Nothobranchius furzeri: one gene and its partner. The protein of the gene in region 1 interacts with the protein of each later gene in a biochemical or structural test. Links are inferred from orthologs where the notes say so. Each region holds a gene or a part of one and is shown on either strand. Other genes may lie near its edges.

What was found. The genes of interacting proteins can lie anywhere in the genome.
Region 2: the proteins of eif2s2 (region 1) and eif2s1b form a complex in vitro, tested with the Homo sapiens proteins (2 studies listed by BioGRID and IntAct). The link is inferred for Nothobranchius furzeri from reciprocal best matches to the Homo sapiens genes EIF2S2 and EIF2S1.

Annotation. Positions count from the first base shown.
Region 1 is NC_091755.1:32,893,595-32,901,381, reverse strand, and holds eif2s2 (eukaryotic translation initiation factor 2 subunit 2), read right to left. Parts: upstream 4,640-7,787; 5' UTR 4,497-4,639; coding exon 4,482-4,496; intron 3,766-4,481; coding exon 3,582-3,765; intron 3,489-3,581; coding exon 3,388-3,488; intron 3,260-3,387; coding exon 3,130-3,259; intron 3,047-3,129; coding exon 2,946-3,046; intron 2,810-2,945; coding exon 2,661-2,809; intron 2,583-2,660; coding exon 2,526-2,582; intron 2,433-2,525; coding exon 2,347-2,432; intron 2,170-2,346; coding exon 1,994-2,169; 3' UTR 1,007-1,993; downstream 1-1,006. Other genes in the region: srsf6a (serine and arginine rich splicing factor 6a), read right to left, coding at 332-438; charged multivesicular body protein 4b, read right to left, coding at 6,439-6,500, 6,583-6,709, 7,575-7,689.
Region 2 is NC_091742.1:8,437,741-8,445,645, reverse strand, and holds the start of eif2s1b (eukaryotic translation initiation factor 2 subunit 1b), read left to right. Parts: upstream 1-2,765; 5' UTR 2,766-2,930; intron 2,931-4,167; 5' UTR 4,168-4,169; coding exon 4,170-4,410; intron 4,411-7,905. Other genes in the region: atp6v1d (V-type proton ATPase subunit D), read right to left, coding at 158-302, 818-896, 966-1,032, 1,138-1,241, 1,341-1,385, 1,472-1,539, 1,618-1,697, 1,854-1,971 and 1 more. UniProt on the Homo sapiens protein: Member of the eIF2 complex that functions in the early steps of protein synthesis by forming a ternary complex with GTP and initiator tRNA. This complex binds to a 40S ribosomal subunit, followed by mRNA binding to form a 43S pre-initiation complex (43S PIC).

The sequences.
Region 1 (7,787 bases):
ACGTAAAAAATGTGCAACTGAAAAATGAGGCCTAGAAATACGGCCCCACACTAAGCCCACGTTAGCTTAGCATCATCGAAAATACAAAGACGCCATGTTGGCCATGCGACATTTGCTACACGGGCAGGATTGAAACTTAAAAATAACCTAAACATGATACACCTAGCAAGAAATTACCATCTATACTTTTAGCACATTTGATATGGAAACCAATTTTTCTACTGAATCACAACAAAATTGCATAAATGGTTAAAAGCTCTTGGAGCAACATTGGCTACTGAAACGTTTTAGCAAGCTAAACCTCACACTCGATATTTCACTTAAAACTCACCCATTTTTCAAATCAATTTCCATTAATTTACCATAACCGCTGAAAAATCGCTGGATATCTTTCTCACGGACATGGTAACTCAACCGTCCAATATAAACTCGAGGCATTTTGTTATATTTTTCCACAAAAAAAAACGTCGTTATTGTACGGTCATCACAAGATGTAGCGTTCTGCTTCTGATGCTAACTTTACAAGCTCACCCCTCAAGAAGGCTTCGGCTCGCGCACTAAGGCACTTAGCCAACCAATCAGCGTCAAGTTAACGGAATGACGTTACCAGTAATGGAACTTCAAAATAAAAGCCCCACTTGACAAGTTTAAATTGTTTTAGAAAGAGAAACGAAAAATGTCGAATCATAAACTTATTTTTCCTAGTCATTTATATTAATTTTCGTGCCTTTTCTGGCCACCATATGAATGCTAAAATTACAGAAAAACTTGGTTGTTTAATTTGAAATTAATTTAATATCAGCTTCAACATGAACAATGTTTGCATTTATATTGTTGGATAATGAATTTTAATGAGTAAATTTCAAATTTTAACCCTTCTAAACCAAAATACAATGACCCCTTGAATTAGACACTGGCACACCTACATAAACTAGCAAGATTATGTTGGGTTGGGTTCCACATAAAACTCTGTATCTACCACATCATGGACACAACTGGGAAAAAGTAATGAAGTAGAATATTTTATTTAGGTAAAAACCAGATTTTAAATTGATTCATCAGACCTTAGCGACCATACTCAAAAGAAAAAAAAGCTGAACTAATATCACATGACAACCATCATAGAACTGCATTTTTGTAATCCAGGAGAGACTGTGGTGGAAACAGATTCAACCCAGTTTATTATTTTTTTTTTAATGATGGGGCACTTTCATTAGATAAAGAAAACTTACTTTTCATGTCAAAAAATATTTTTTCCCAAGTGGCTTTAATTAAATCAGTAAGATAGAAATATTGTCACTGGTTTTATGAAATCAAGACTACAAAAGCACTCAAAAACAGTTTGTATTTCTGTTTTACACCTCACATCAGCCATTTTAACCTTGGCCTCCTCCTTTTGAGCCCCAACGGTTTGATCTCAACACATTTTACTGTAAAACCACAAGCAAGTCTGTGAAACTTTAGCACTAAATGTAATGTTTGTGCTAGACAAGAAAAATCATTTTTAGTTTAGCAACAAAGAGCTGGAGAATTAAGTAGGGGCCATGGATACAATTAAAGCATTTAAGCTTTCTTCATGTGGACTCTTTTAGCTTGACGCAATCTGACTAGCTATACGGAAACATGTTTTTAGTCTTCATGACTGGTATGTGTAAAATGAAAAAACTAAAATACCTGACAACCTGTGGGGTTTTCTTCAAGAGATTAAATCACAGCAAAATAGAAAAAAAAAAAAAAACCTGGGAGGCAGAGGGTTTGTCAGCCACGCAACCAAATGCATTCAATCCAACAGTAAATCTGGAGAACGTCATCTGCTTACAGCATCTGTACCTCTTCAGTTAGACTTAGATCCTCTTTCACTTCCTGCCTGTAAAGGCTGCAACCACTAAACAACCAAACCCTCCCGCAGTTCGATTCAGAGAGTCCTTTTATTTAAATCAGAGGGGGCGACCGATCCCAGCTTTGGAGAGAGGGAGCCCACTTTTCATGGCCTTTAGTTGGCTTTGGCGCGGAGCTGCGCCCGCTTGCCCGTCACAGCCTGGAAGCCAGTCTTGATGCTGGCAACAGAGCAGCGGGAGTGGCACGTCTCACACTGCAGGAAATATAGACGAGTGTCCTTCTGCAGGATGGTCTCTGGAGAGCGGCAGGTGTGACAGGTTACGTATTCCTCTGCAGGAGCGAGAAGACTGGTATCAGTAGCAATACAACAACCAAGGTCCAAATCTAAAGCGTATGTCATTCAGTTATCGATTTGGGGGCATCATTCTAATGATATATGAGTGTGTGTGTACACAAGTGTAAAATTACAGTCAACTTAATAATAAACGAGAAAAAAGCCAAACTTACTGATATATCTTCTCAACACATTTTCTATCTGTTTCTGCTGAAATCTGCCCTTGATCACAAGCTGGTTGTTTCCATCTATCGAGCCGCTGATAACAGATAAGACCAAATAAAAACTCTTTTTGTTTTCAATGACAAAAACCATTTCTCAAACTTGTGAACACACACAACAAAAAACAAACCTTGTTCCCAGCTCAGCAAGTAGAAAAGCAAGGAGATGTTTAGGCTGACGATGCAACCTGCATCAGTGAAAGTACAACACTTAGAAAAGCCCCAGTAGAGTTCATTCAGAAGGGTTGGTTGCCAGGGAGACTCACAGTTTGCAGATGTCTGTGAAGTTGACAAAGGAGGTTTTCTTGGTTCCAACTCGGACCACCTGAGGTGGTTTCATCACAAACTTCCTCTTCTCTCCAGCCACCATGTCCGGGTTCTTCTCTCTCATGATGTTGAAAACTCTGTTTAGAAGCTGAAACAGAAACAGACATGAGATCTACCAGCCAAGCTTTACATTAACATTTACAGAACAACAACAAGAAAAGGTTGTTTTAAGAAGACAGAGCCGTATAAATAAGTGTAAGGGGCAGATATTAACAAATATCTACCTCATCATACGTGTAGTCTCTTTCTGAGCCGGCCCATGCAGGACCAGTGGAGGGGCTGAATGAAATCCCATCATTGTTTTTGCTCTCCTCATCCTCCAGTGCTACAAATAGAAAATAAACCCATTTTACACTAATATCCTATTGGTCCTTATGTTAAAGTAATTTCTGTAGTTTCAGTTTTTACCGTCATCTTTCTCCAAAAGCTCGCCCTCATCAAAATCTACTTTCTTTGTCTTCTTCTTTTTGGTGGGAAGCATCAAATCCAGACTGTCCTCCTCCGGGGCCTCCGTCTGCTCCCCTTCAATTTTAAGCTCCTGGTTTGGATCAGAAAATTATGAAATTTAATAATAATAATAACAATAATAAAGTATTGACAATGTGAGAAATATAAACTCCAGGGTCAGTAGGTGTAGAGAAGTAAAAAAGTGTGGCACTGACTGACCTTTAACCCCTCCTCTACATCATTATCAAAGACTTTCTTAGGTTTCTTCTTTTTTTTCTTCTGGTTGAAGAAGTTCAGGTCATTCAAATCATCTGACAGTTCTAAAGAAGACAAAGAAACCACAAAAAGCTTCAGACTGATGTAATTGTGTTGTAGGAGGAGTAACAAAGGGAAACGCCTGTCATCATTCTTACCTTTTTTCCTGCCTTCATCCTCATCTATATCCAGCTCCTTGTCGTCTCCAACCTCTGGCTCAGCCTCCTTCGCCTCCACCTCTTTAGCCTCCTCTCCTGCGACCCCTTCTCCTCCTTCCTCATCCAGCATGAAGGGCTTCTTTTTCTTTTTCTTCTTCTTGGTCATGTTGGGATCGAAAATCATCTAAAAGGGAAATGAAAAATGGGTTCAATGATACATGTGCAAATTTTATTTCACTTTAAATAAATATACTCTAAAATGTCAACCAGGAGTTAAATATTTTATTTATCTTCCTTAATCCATTCTGTAAAGAAACAAATAATGGGTCTAAAAACACGGTTGACCAAAACCAACACACAGACTAAAGCGAGAAAATGGCATGTCATAACATGACAAATTAACACAGCTAATGTAAAACGCAGTGTATTATTTGTGATAATTAGTTGAGAATAAACAAATCAGAGATGTCTACATGGATGGTTTACATCACGTCTTTCTTTATTAACTGTAATAAAGTGTCTACCAGAACATTTTTGCTGAGCTAATTCTCGCTAGCTCGTAGTTGCTAACATAAATCAACGGTTAGCCTCAGTTTCAAGAAGCTACTTAGCTAACTTAAGCCTTTGCTTGATTCTTAGATCTGTGACCATGAAGTTACTATGATGAATATAAATGTGAACTAGTGTGACAACCACAGCACGGACAATGTTTTCCTGTCAATATGACAACTCAGGCCGCTGTTCGCCCTGCTGCGGCCATGTGAGAGCTGCTGCTGCGGACAAGGAAAGAACTAGCTGTGCCGAGGCCCAAAGTCATCCTCAACACCGAGCTGGTCGGAAAATTCCCTTGAACAACAAAACAAACAGGGAAAAAACAACAGATCATGTAGGATAATCTACCTCGTCTCCGGACATGTTTGCCAGCCAAAAATCACAGAAGTCAGACCACTTCGAATCACTCGATTAGCTCCACACCTCTGCGCCGAAATATTTCTTGCATCAGCGTTGGTCCTCACTGCGCAGGCGTGAAGTCGCGTTACGCACTTACTTTGCGACACACGGCATGACACCTGAGTAGTGTTCAAGATCGACACTGTACGGCAAATAATTGTTACAAAACAGTGAATTAAAAAAAGTAAAAGCTTGTTATTAACTCTACGTTGTCTCCTATTTCATCACAGCTGAAGGCAGATGCGACAGTGGAGTTTTATGGGTATACGTTTTCTTCTCACGTTACTCTTAACAGGTGAACTACTTAATATATTTCATCCATCTATCGGTTTTCGTCTGCTTACGATAAATGACCTGCGTCTTTCAGAGTCAGAGGCCTCCATAGTGCTTTACACTACAGTGTATCATTCGTCCACACACACTCACACTTATCCCTTTGCAGTGTTAATTGTTATAATTTCATAAAGTATCTATTTTAAGTGACCAACTCTGAAATTGACATTTTGTCATATTTTTAACAGAAATTCTGGCATCCAAAGCTGCTAGAATAAAAGTTAATATTTGAGTTATTTTAGAGTATATACCCCAATAAAATGAGCCTATTTATAAATGCAATCCTAACTCGTCTTTAATTGTGTAAATTAGAGAAAAGGTCCAGTTACTACAGTCATGACACTTTATGAAACCTTTACTGGTTAAAAAAGGTTTTTTGTGTAAGTAGACACACATGAAAAATTTAAAACATTCAAAAACAGTAAAAATAATTGAAAACCTTTTAATGATTCTGCAAACAATATTCTCATTTGGATAAATAAAACATAGAAATGCAAACATGCTTGTCCATCTGTCCTTTTGCATTTCTTTTACTATGTAAAAACATACGTTGTGATTTCAAAAACCTAAATGATTTAAATGCAAAATGCAAATATTCTGGGTTGACTTTAATTCTATATTTTTTTATAAACCATCTTTCTACTGTTGCAATTAATATGGTGTGACAATAGTTTAATATATTTATCTTTTCTCTTTTAATGATATCGAATAAAAATAAAAAATAACCTCATGAGGACAAAAACAGACGGAGCAGGATCAAAGTATTAGGCCAGATGTCTCTCTTCGTAGCCGTGCAGTGTGATCTGTATTGTGACTTCGCCATGGTTGCATGCTTCACACTTTCAACTGAACCTCCCGGCAACAGCGGAATTACAGAATGACGTACAAAAGGGTGACACATTTGAGATATTTACACCAAATAGCAAGAACCACTGGTGAGAAAGCTTTCAAAGGGAGGGAGACGTCACAAAAAATGGCGACAGGAGGTAAAACAGGTAGAAACAAAACTGAGAGGTTCAAATTCTAGCAAACACACAGCTCCACAACTTCCTCACCCACTGTGTGTGTCAATCCCAAAAGCTACTTAAACAAAGCAAAGATTATTATTATTCTCAAAAAGAAAAAAGAAAAGAAATGAAACACTTTTTAGCAAATCAAATATCATAAACAAATGGGTTGGAAACAAATCTTTGAGGCTTTAGCTTCTAAGAAATTTCTCCTGTTCAGAAATTTAACAGAACACCAACTGTGCTTAAATGAACGCCCCTCCCACCAACCTGCTCCAGACTGGTTCCAGGACCAGTAAGGGGTAGTAATAGTAATTATCACAAGTAGGTGTTTTCTAACAGGTGAATTTGAGAGACTCTCGTTTGCACAGAAAACTTGCAGGTCTCTATGTTTTTTGGGGGGTAAAAAAAATAAAAGTACAGCATTGTGGCTTATTTGTAGTGTTCCACAAAGTCAACTCTCCTCAAACACACGGAAACACTCAAGGATCAACAGTTCATTTTCATCGTTTCCCCTCGTTTCATCCTCTCTGATGTCAGTACGATGTGAGTGATGCGGTGTTTGTTTACATGGCTTCAGCCCAACGCTGCAGGTCCTCCATGTCATCCTCGTCCTCCTCTTTCTTGGCTGTTTAAGAGAGGATGAGACATTAAGAGCTCTGAGGTGAAAAAAAGAAAGGGCTGCAATGCAAATAGAAACCAAAAATCACCGGGTCTGGATGGTAGTGAAGTCGAAGGCACATTGGGGAGAGGGACGGTCTCTGGTCCCCCGATCTCCAGCAGATTCTTGTCCAGCTCTTCCTGTTCCAGCTCATCTAGCTCTGCCAGCAACTCATCCTTTTGAGGAAAAATTATTAAAAGTCAGACTGATGCAAAGAAGTACAGTAAAGTTGTAGTTACTGGAACTTTCCATCGACGCGTAAGCCTCGTGTAACGTTTCTGAAGTCGATGGGTGTGTTTCCATCGGCTGCAAAGTGACGCATTTTGGACGCGTCCCAGAAGTGAACGGACAGGTCGTTACGCTTCGAATCGTTTAAAATTTTTTTAATTTTTTTTACGCACTACACTTCCAAAATGCGTCAAGCCCAGAGATGGGAAACTGTGGCATCAACAAGTCATCTCCATGTCGTGTTTTTGTTCTGCTCAGCAACAAAACCAGGTTCATTCACTGTGCTGACTAAAATCACCTGGTTTTGTTGCTGAGCAGAACAAAATATGGAGATGACTTGTTGATGCCACAGTTTCCCATCTCTGGTTAAGCCATTGAGTTTAGATCAGGCCAGACAGGAAGTCACACAGAAAAGCAGTGCAAAACAGCTGGACACTTTCAAAATAAAAGTCAAGTTTAGATTTCCAGTTGCTAGTACTAAAGTCCGTCACTACCTGTGAAACCTCCGTAGCCGAGGCAGACAGAACAGAAAATAAACCAAATCTTTTCAGACGCATGCTGCTTTCTATTCTTTCTATTTTGTTATCGCGTGAATTGTCGAAATCACGTGTGGTTCTGCAATTCTCCTGTGATCGTGGAACGCTTTTGCTGGCGTTTTGTGTCTTTAACGCTCCCGGTAAAACACGTCTATTACGTTACATGGCACCCATTTTTTAAAGTCAGTTGACAGAATTTGAGAAAGATAGTCAGAGGGTGCAGGGCACATTGTGATTAAAGCATTGATATTCAGACCCGATCAAAAGCGTCACTCACTTCATCAAATTCCTCCCCAAAGCCAACAGGTTTGGAGATGGCATCGGAGATTTCCTGGGCCAGCTCCTGCTGCTCCGTTATGTCCTGCATCAGGTCGTCCACCTTGTCAATGTCCCTAATGACAAAAGGAACGAGAACAAATGGAGGAGAAATGAAATCAAGCATGTGACCTAGGAGCAGGTGCATGAGCTGGGTTTTGGTTTCAAAGCAAAC
Region 2 (7,905 bases), on another chromosome or scaffold:
CTGTACAGCGACACGAGAAGACGTTCAGACTTTTCCAGCACAGAAACACAATCACAGATCTGGAGGGGAAAAATAACTTTATAGGGAGGTGTGAACGTGGCCGGAGGCACGGAATAAATAAGACGTTGAGTGTTGAACCACGGGGGGAGGGAGGGGTTCACTCAAACAGCAGGTCCTCGTCCGTCTCCTCCGTCAGCATGTTAGCCGGCTCAGCGATGGGACCGAGTGCAGCCAGCCGGGCGGCGATCTCCCGTTCTGTCCTTTCCCTGAGCTGCTTCTTTTTCTCCTGGATTTTCTTCAGCCTGGCACAGCGGAAAATAACAGGTACTGTAAATGTGAAGCTTCAGAATGGCCAAACTAAAGAGTAAGTCACCCCCCTACCAGAGCCTTACTCCACCCACACTTCTGGTTTCAAAAATGCACCAAAAGGAGGCGTTGCCTGATGGGGTGAGAGGGCGGGACTGCAGCCTGAACTGACTGGTTTTTTGGAGGAGGTGAGCAGCCCTGAGGCATCGGCTTGTGAGTTGCCAAGGCAACCGGTGCAGAGCCTGCTGGCGGCATAGCTTACCCAGAAATTCGGCTGGTATTAGACCCCACAGTGGTACCCTTTAACCAATAGCGATGGCTAACTAATTCAAATGGAATGCAGACTATTAACCTGAAGAGGGCGCTACACCAACAGTTTTAGGTTGAATATTTAAATAAGATGCACCAAAAACCAAAAATAATGATTACACATGACTCTTACAGTAGTTGACTTCCTAACCCATCAGATCCTTTTACTAATGGTTAAGGAATCCGATGCAGCTGCTCTCACCTGTAGAACTCCTCACGCTCCCTCTCATCCAGCTCTGTGATGATGTAGGTGAGAGTGCGATCAATCCTGGGAATAATCACTGCAACGGAGAGTAAAGATGGTTAAAAACACAAGCATCTGTAGATCTTTGAACAACTCGTTTGTTTACCGTGCTCAATGGCATTCACGCGGCGGTTAGTGATCTTAATGGCTTCGTCCAAGGTGACAAATGATGTCTGTTAAAAAAATATTAATTTTTATTCAAAATTAAATATATATATATATATATAGATATTTTGCAAATATGGCAGAAAAATACGCCTTAAAAGCCATAACAGCACCTGTAAGGAGGCCAACTCCACAAGCAGCTCAACAGCTCTAGCATAATTCCTCTTCAGCCGGGAGAGCTGTTCACCTCCTCGGGCTAGACCGGTGAGTTCATAACCTGACACACACACACACACAAACATGCTGAGCTTTCTGAGGTTCACAGACACTAATCCAAATATGATGCATGTCTGAAAAGTACAATTACACTACTTACTGTCTCCACCTTCTTGGTAGTGTTCAAACACTGGAAGGGTGACACCTGAAAAGACAAATTCAGCATGAATAGTTGTTTCCCATCAATTACAGTGATGATGATGATGATGATGATGGGAAGATTTTTCTGACCCGCCACATTATCCTTCTTGGCTCGAACCTTGACCTGGGCTTTGTTCACATTCTGGATTACAGTTGTGCTGAAAGAAGATGAAAAGTTGCTGCGCACGTCTAACAGACTCGATAAAACACGGCTGTAACATTGTCATTACTCTTACCTAAAGTCACCAGCTGCAAATTTGGCTTCAGCCAATGAGAAAGCTGCTTCTCTCATCACCTCTCCCATCTTAGTTTTAGTCTAAAAGAACAGAGAATAAAAGAAAATTCCATTATTAGGTGTTTTTCTATTATGTGAGAAATAATGCAAGATTTAAATAGTTGCTCTAGTTATTTTAGTGTCAAATTGGCTGGAGTGAAGAAAGAGAAGCAGCAATCATTAAATGTTCTGACTGACTTCAATAATTTTACGAAGGATCTGACGGAAGCGCATCGAGAGAGCGTCAGATTTCTTCTTGAGCAAACTGCGGCCAGTTTGAGCCCCTTTCAGTCGAGCCTTCATGATGGTCTGGGCCCTGCAAACACACAGATGACATTTATTTATAGATTCAGACCTGATGTGACTACACAACCACCTATTGTACATTTTTTAAAGTATTTGTCTAATTATTTTTCTCTGCATGGTTGGCCATCCTGAAAGACAGATACCCACTTTTCTTTTTTTACACATGAATATCTGAGTGAGTTTTTCCACATAAACAAACAGGTGACGTGCAGTCAGTTTGGCTTTAAAATTAGAACTAGACCTTCCTTGTGGCTTTCATGAAGCAGGTACAGACTCTGTTCACACTCAGATGTTAGAAACATCACATGACACAAAAATAGCGCTTCCTCTTTTAAACAGCAGACTCAAACTATGAATAAAATGTATCCGCAGTGCAGACGCGGTCCAATTAAGGTAAATAAATGCAGAAAATTAATTATCACGGCATCTGGAAAGCTAGAAAAATAATGTGACATTTAATGGGGGGGGGGGGGGGGCTAATTTGTTAGCCAAGAGAAAAGACGATACGATAAGAAAAGACGATACTTACATTCTAGACGGGAATATGTCGATCCTGTCCTTTCCAGACATGTTTTCGTCTTTATGTTGACCGATCTACTTCTACGCTTTAAACTTAAATATTTAACTTTACTTGTAACTATAACGAATCGTTTGAGGTTAATATAATATCTCAAAAAAGCTATAATTCGAGCAGGATTAGGTGAACGTAGCTAGCTAATGGTCGTGATCTTGTCCGTCCGTAATGATCAGCTGACCCCAAGTCATGTGACACAGCCGTGAATTTACACATGCGCAGAGAGGTACTCTCTATTAATTCTTTCCGGGGCAAAAAAAAATTGCACACCCATGAATGTGAGCTAACGGGTCTGAGAATTTCATCTAAAAGCAGCCGAAAGAAAACATAGAGAAGCATTTAAACACGCCCATCATAAAATTCCAACTTTATCATTCTGTAACTCCATGACACAGGTGAGTTTTCGCTGACAGAGAAGATATTTGAAGCGACGAAGAGACTGCTAGCTAAACGTGTAGCATTGGCAGCCGCATGTGATTTGGAAACCTTAGCCAGGAAGCTAACACCTTAAAATGTCTTTTTCTGCTTGTAATGAAACCGTATGTTATCTCTTAGCGTTTTATTCATTATCTATGTGCTATAATGTGCCTTACTACTAGTACTAATGTGCTGTAATATTTTATTGTCTGTTTTTAATTCCATATGTTCAAGCCAGTTTTTTGCTCTTAAAAAAAGTTGTGGACGTTGCATCATCCCATTCATTCCTAGACTAAAATTTTGAGGGGGGAAAAGCCTAAAACTACGAATCTTTTGAAGAACTGTTCTGAATTTTATTTATTTCAAACGGGTCAAATATTAATGCTGAAATGTGAATACTTGAAATGCTTGTTCTATGCAATAATCCCAACATTTTGCTTTCTGCACAGGGTTTTCTGCTAATGAGGGTGCTGATTGTATCAAGAGCCGTGCATTATTTATTCTTGATGACTTGTGCAAATATCAGTATTACATATTAAGTCTTTTTCTGTTTCTCTGAAGCCGCAGATTGTTAAGTTCAGATAAGGTGCTGTTGGCTGTTAACACCTTATTCTTCCTAATAACCCCCTCAAAGGGTTATTAACAAGTCTCCTGTAGAAGTGAATTGTGCTTATTAATATTGGAATGTTTTACTGGTGACATAATATTTCACACACTGTCAACAGATTAATACCAATAGAATAAAATCATCAAACATTCTCCATTAAACAAAGAACAACATAGAAAGGTCCATTGCAATTGAGGGAAATAATTTTGTTACAGATTAGTGGTGATAAAAAGTCAAATGTTCTTTGAAAGCTGAATCTCCAGTTTGGATTAAAGTGAATAAACCAGTAGCATCAATATGTGTTGGCGTTTAAATGAAAGTAAACTTGATCTCTTCAAACTGCTGCAAGTAAAATGTTGATCTTTGATGAAAGGTTTTTGGAGTAGATTTAGTTTTGTGGCTGCTCTGCCCATCCATGAACTCAAAAAACTTTATTAAAGTCAAATTTACAACAGCACTACAAAATATTACATATTTACATATTTTTCTGCTTTCACTCTTGAGAGGCTAGCGTTTTATGTATTATCAGAGTGACATCCAAATAGTTTGTTTAATGCTTATTTTTCAAACTAAATATGTACCCCCTTATTCTGTTCACATCTTCACAGCAATGCCGGGGCTTAGTTGTCGGTTCTATCAGCATCGCTTCCCTGAGGTGGAGGATGTGGTGATGGTGAACGTGAGGTCCATCGCTGAGATGGGAGCCTATGTCAGCCTTCTGGAGTACAACAACATCGAGGGCATGATCCTCCTGAGTGAGCTGTCCCGCAGACGTATTCGCTCCATCAACAAGCTCATCCGCATCGGTCGCAACGAATGTGTCGTCGTCATTCGAGTTGACAAAGAGAAAGGTGAGAGCTGCAACTTGAAACGTAACATTAACAGATAAAATTATCCATAAGATATTCTTGTTTTAAACACACTATAGAAGGGGTTTTCAATTATTTTCTGTCATATAAAATTATTTTATTTTTTTGCATAAGGGCTGCAGCTATCAAATATTTTCGTATTCGAGTATTCTATCGAATCATCCATCGATTAATGGAGTATTCTATTTGACGGCGTTTCAAGTGAAACGAGATTGTGGTCTGCTGCCAAAATAAAAACGCAAAATTATAAGAGGCTCAACAAAATATATTAAATTGGTGTTCCCTATTTCCCAGCTGATTTTTATAGTTAAATATTTTATGGAACAATTTTTTTTAGGTTTCTATTAATATCAGTAAAATATTCACAGTAGAATTATTCATTTCATTTACATGTTCAGTAGTAAGTTACTGGAAATGCTAATAACATTTCATTTGTACTTGTGGCGTGTGTCTCTTTATATATATATATTATTATTATTTATTTATTTTTTACAGGTTGGCAACGTAATCTAGTCTACATTGTGTTCAAATATGTAAGCGTTTGTGAATTACATGCTACAACGGCTTGCCATTGCGCTGCTGCGGTGTATGGAGCAGACTCGTAGCAACAACCAGACTCCAGGGAGCTGCAGCAGTTCTGCACCACACCGCTGTAGACATCCACACATAAACAGGATGGTGGAGGTTTTTCTTCCACTTGTGGAGTTTAGTCGCTCACAACCATCATGTTTTTTTCTGGACCACACTTGCTCATGAGAATGCTACCCGCTAGCTTAGCATTAGCAATTCTGCTCGTAGTTTATTCTTGACCCCAAACTTAGGACTGTTTCTGCCTTTTACAATGGTTTGTCTTTGCTGGTTTCTCTATTTTTCCTCCACAGCACCTAGATCACCACGTAGTGCACCAGTAAAATGTGTTCAGACCAGGGACATGCAGAGACCTTTGAAGGGGTGGGTGCTCAAATTCAAAAAGGGGGCACATAATAGGGATGCAACGATACCACTTTTTTCCAAACCGATACAATACCGATACTTGGATCAGAGTACTCGCCGATACCGATTACCAATACCGATACTTCTACCACACAAAAAAATGCAATGATTTGGAATACAGATTTTACTTTCTTCTCTGCTTTCAACAGGAAAAGACTGAGGTAGGTAAAAAGTAAAATATATGAATGGAAATATCACAAAACTAAAATATTAGGTGAACAGAAATGACAAGTTACAGTGAAGCCATTTTCAAGCAACTGCATTGGTATCTGTTAACTTTTACCGATACTGGTATTGGTATCTGTATCGATGCCGATACCGATACCAGTATTGTATCGGTGCTAGGGTTGTCACGATACTAAAATTTCAAACTCGATTCGATACTTGAAAATATTCGGTGCTCGATTTCGATACTATTTAAAAACACCAATTTATTGAACAAGTTTATTCAAAAAATAACATTCCTCAATTTATATTGCAAAAATTAAATGTTAAGAATTAAGTGTGTAAAGTGCTTAAACCTTTCAAGTATCAGCATTTTTTAAAACGTGCATACAAAAACTGGCGAAAGTTACTTTAAATCATGAATTGCCTCACTATATATACACTATTTGCAGAGTGATGTTTTGCTGCTTAAACTCTGTTTAAGGTGCATTTTTGTCATAAGATGTAATGCCATATGTTTTGTTCTGTACTTTTGAACAACTCTGTTGGTCAATAAAGGGAGAAAATGAATTTCTCCACAGTAGGACAGAGGTACATCTACCGGTAATCTTAATTAAAAACAGATTGGCGCACGGCAGAGACGTCATTAAAAGCGCCGGTTAATTAGCCGCGGCTAGTCTGTTTACGCCTAGAAATCCCAGACCCGCTCCAAACGAACAGGGGAATCATGTCAATGATTCCTAACAAAACCTTTCGACATTGAGATGTTTTGGTGCAGATAATGTCTTATTTCAAGGCTGCACCATAGGTGCCCGTCCGCACCCGTTATATGGATATATGCTGACGGCGATTCGCCGATGGATCTAAATACCCCGGGGAATCCAAGTAGCACCAAAGTTGTCAGCGTGAGTAAACAAACGTACTGCATGCTAGAAATTAAGTCCGGGTTGCAATAAACGGGAGTTTCCTTTAAGCACATAAGCGTGAATATACAACTATGTGTCGGACTTGGTATGCTAATTACGTTGGGCTGTGAAGCGCCTCCCAAATTCGCTGTTTATGTTTTTGTTTATTTATTTGGCAGACAAAACTTGGATCGGAGACAACTCACGTGGGAAATTACAATGTAGCCATGTGGCGTCTTCTTCTTCTGTTTGTCTGGGAGGCGGAGGCTGCTTTACGGCGTCTGGCTGTCGTGCGTGTCGGTTAGGGCTGCAACAACGAATCGATAAATTCGATGAAAATCGATTACTAAAAGCGTTGGCAACGAATTGCGTCATCGATTCGTTGTGTTGCGCAACTCTTCCAAAAGCCCCCTCCCGCCCGCCGTTGCGCGCAGACCGGTGGAGAGCCAGCAGGTGTTTGTAAGAGGAACATGGCAGAAGCAGCGAGACCCCCAAAAAGTAAAAACTTCTAAAGTTTGGGAGCATTTTCAGTTAAATCAGGCGAAGACATGCAACGTTTGTAGGTCAGACTTAGCATGGCATGGGGATACTACGGTGATGATGCAGCGTCTTAAACGCAAGCATGTCAGAATCATCAGCGAGGAAGGAGAGAGCTCGGTGTCCGGGTAAGTTAAAAACTTTTCAAAAGTGATTCACCCAAGCTCCGGATTATTACACAGGCTAGACATGCCCTAAGCTCGTAAAAAAAAGTATTTAAAATTGTAAGCGCGACGCTATTAGATATGCGGGGGGGGGGGGGGGGGGGGGGGACGACTCGCGCCGCTGCGAACCGGTTCCGCCGTCACATTCCCGCAGAAACTGGTTGATCACACCGGGGCCAGACTACTAACTTGTGGCTTTACAACCACAATGTCCTCAGAAGCGAAAACGCTTTTAAAAGGGAGGGAGGAGTCCTAACTGTTGCTGCAGGCGTGTTGTGTGAGAGTGCAGTTATATACTGGTTAATATATTTTTGGGTTCAGTTGCTTTCATGTGGCCTAATGTGAGTCCATTTGGGATCATTGGAATGATCAGCAGCATTTCTTGATGTGACTTTATGGCAGTTGCCCAGGGCATCATCACAAGGAGGATGGCATTCATTTACTTTTGTTTTATTTGGTATTTTTCAGTCATTTTTGGAAATAGTGATTAATTTTGATTAATTCACAGCCTATGTTTAATTACATTTAAAAATTAGTTGTTTGACATCCCCAATTATAATAAATATCTACAGATGAGATCAAACAAAACAGATGAGAATTGCCCTTAAAGAGCAAGTCACCCCCAAATACTTTTTTTTGCTGATAGACTAAATAAACGAGTGTCTAATCATGCTGCAGACACGTGTCGTCAATAATTTGGCACTTCAGTGCAT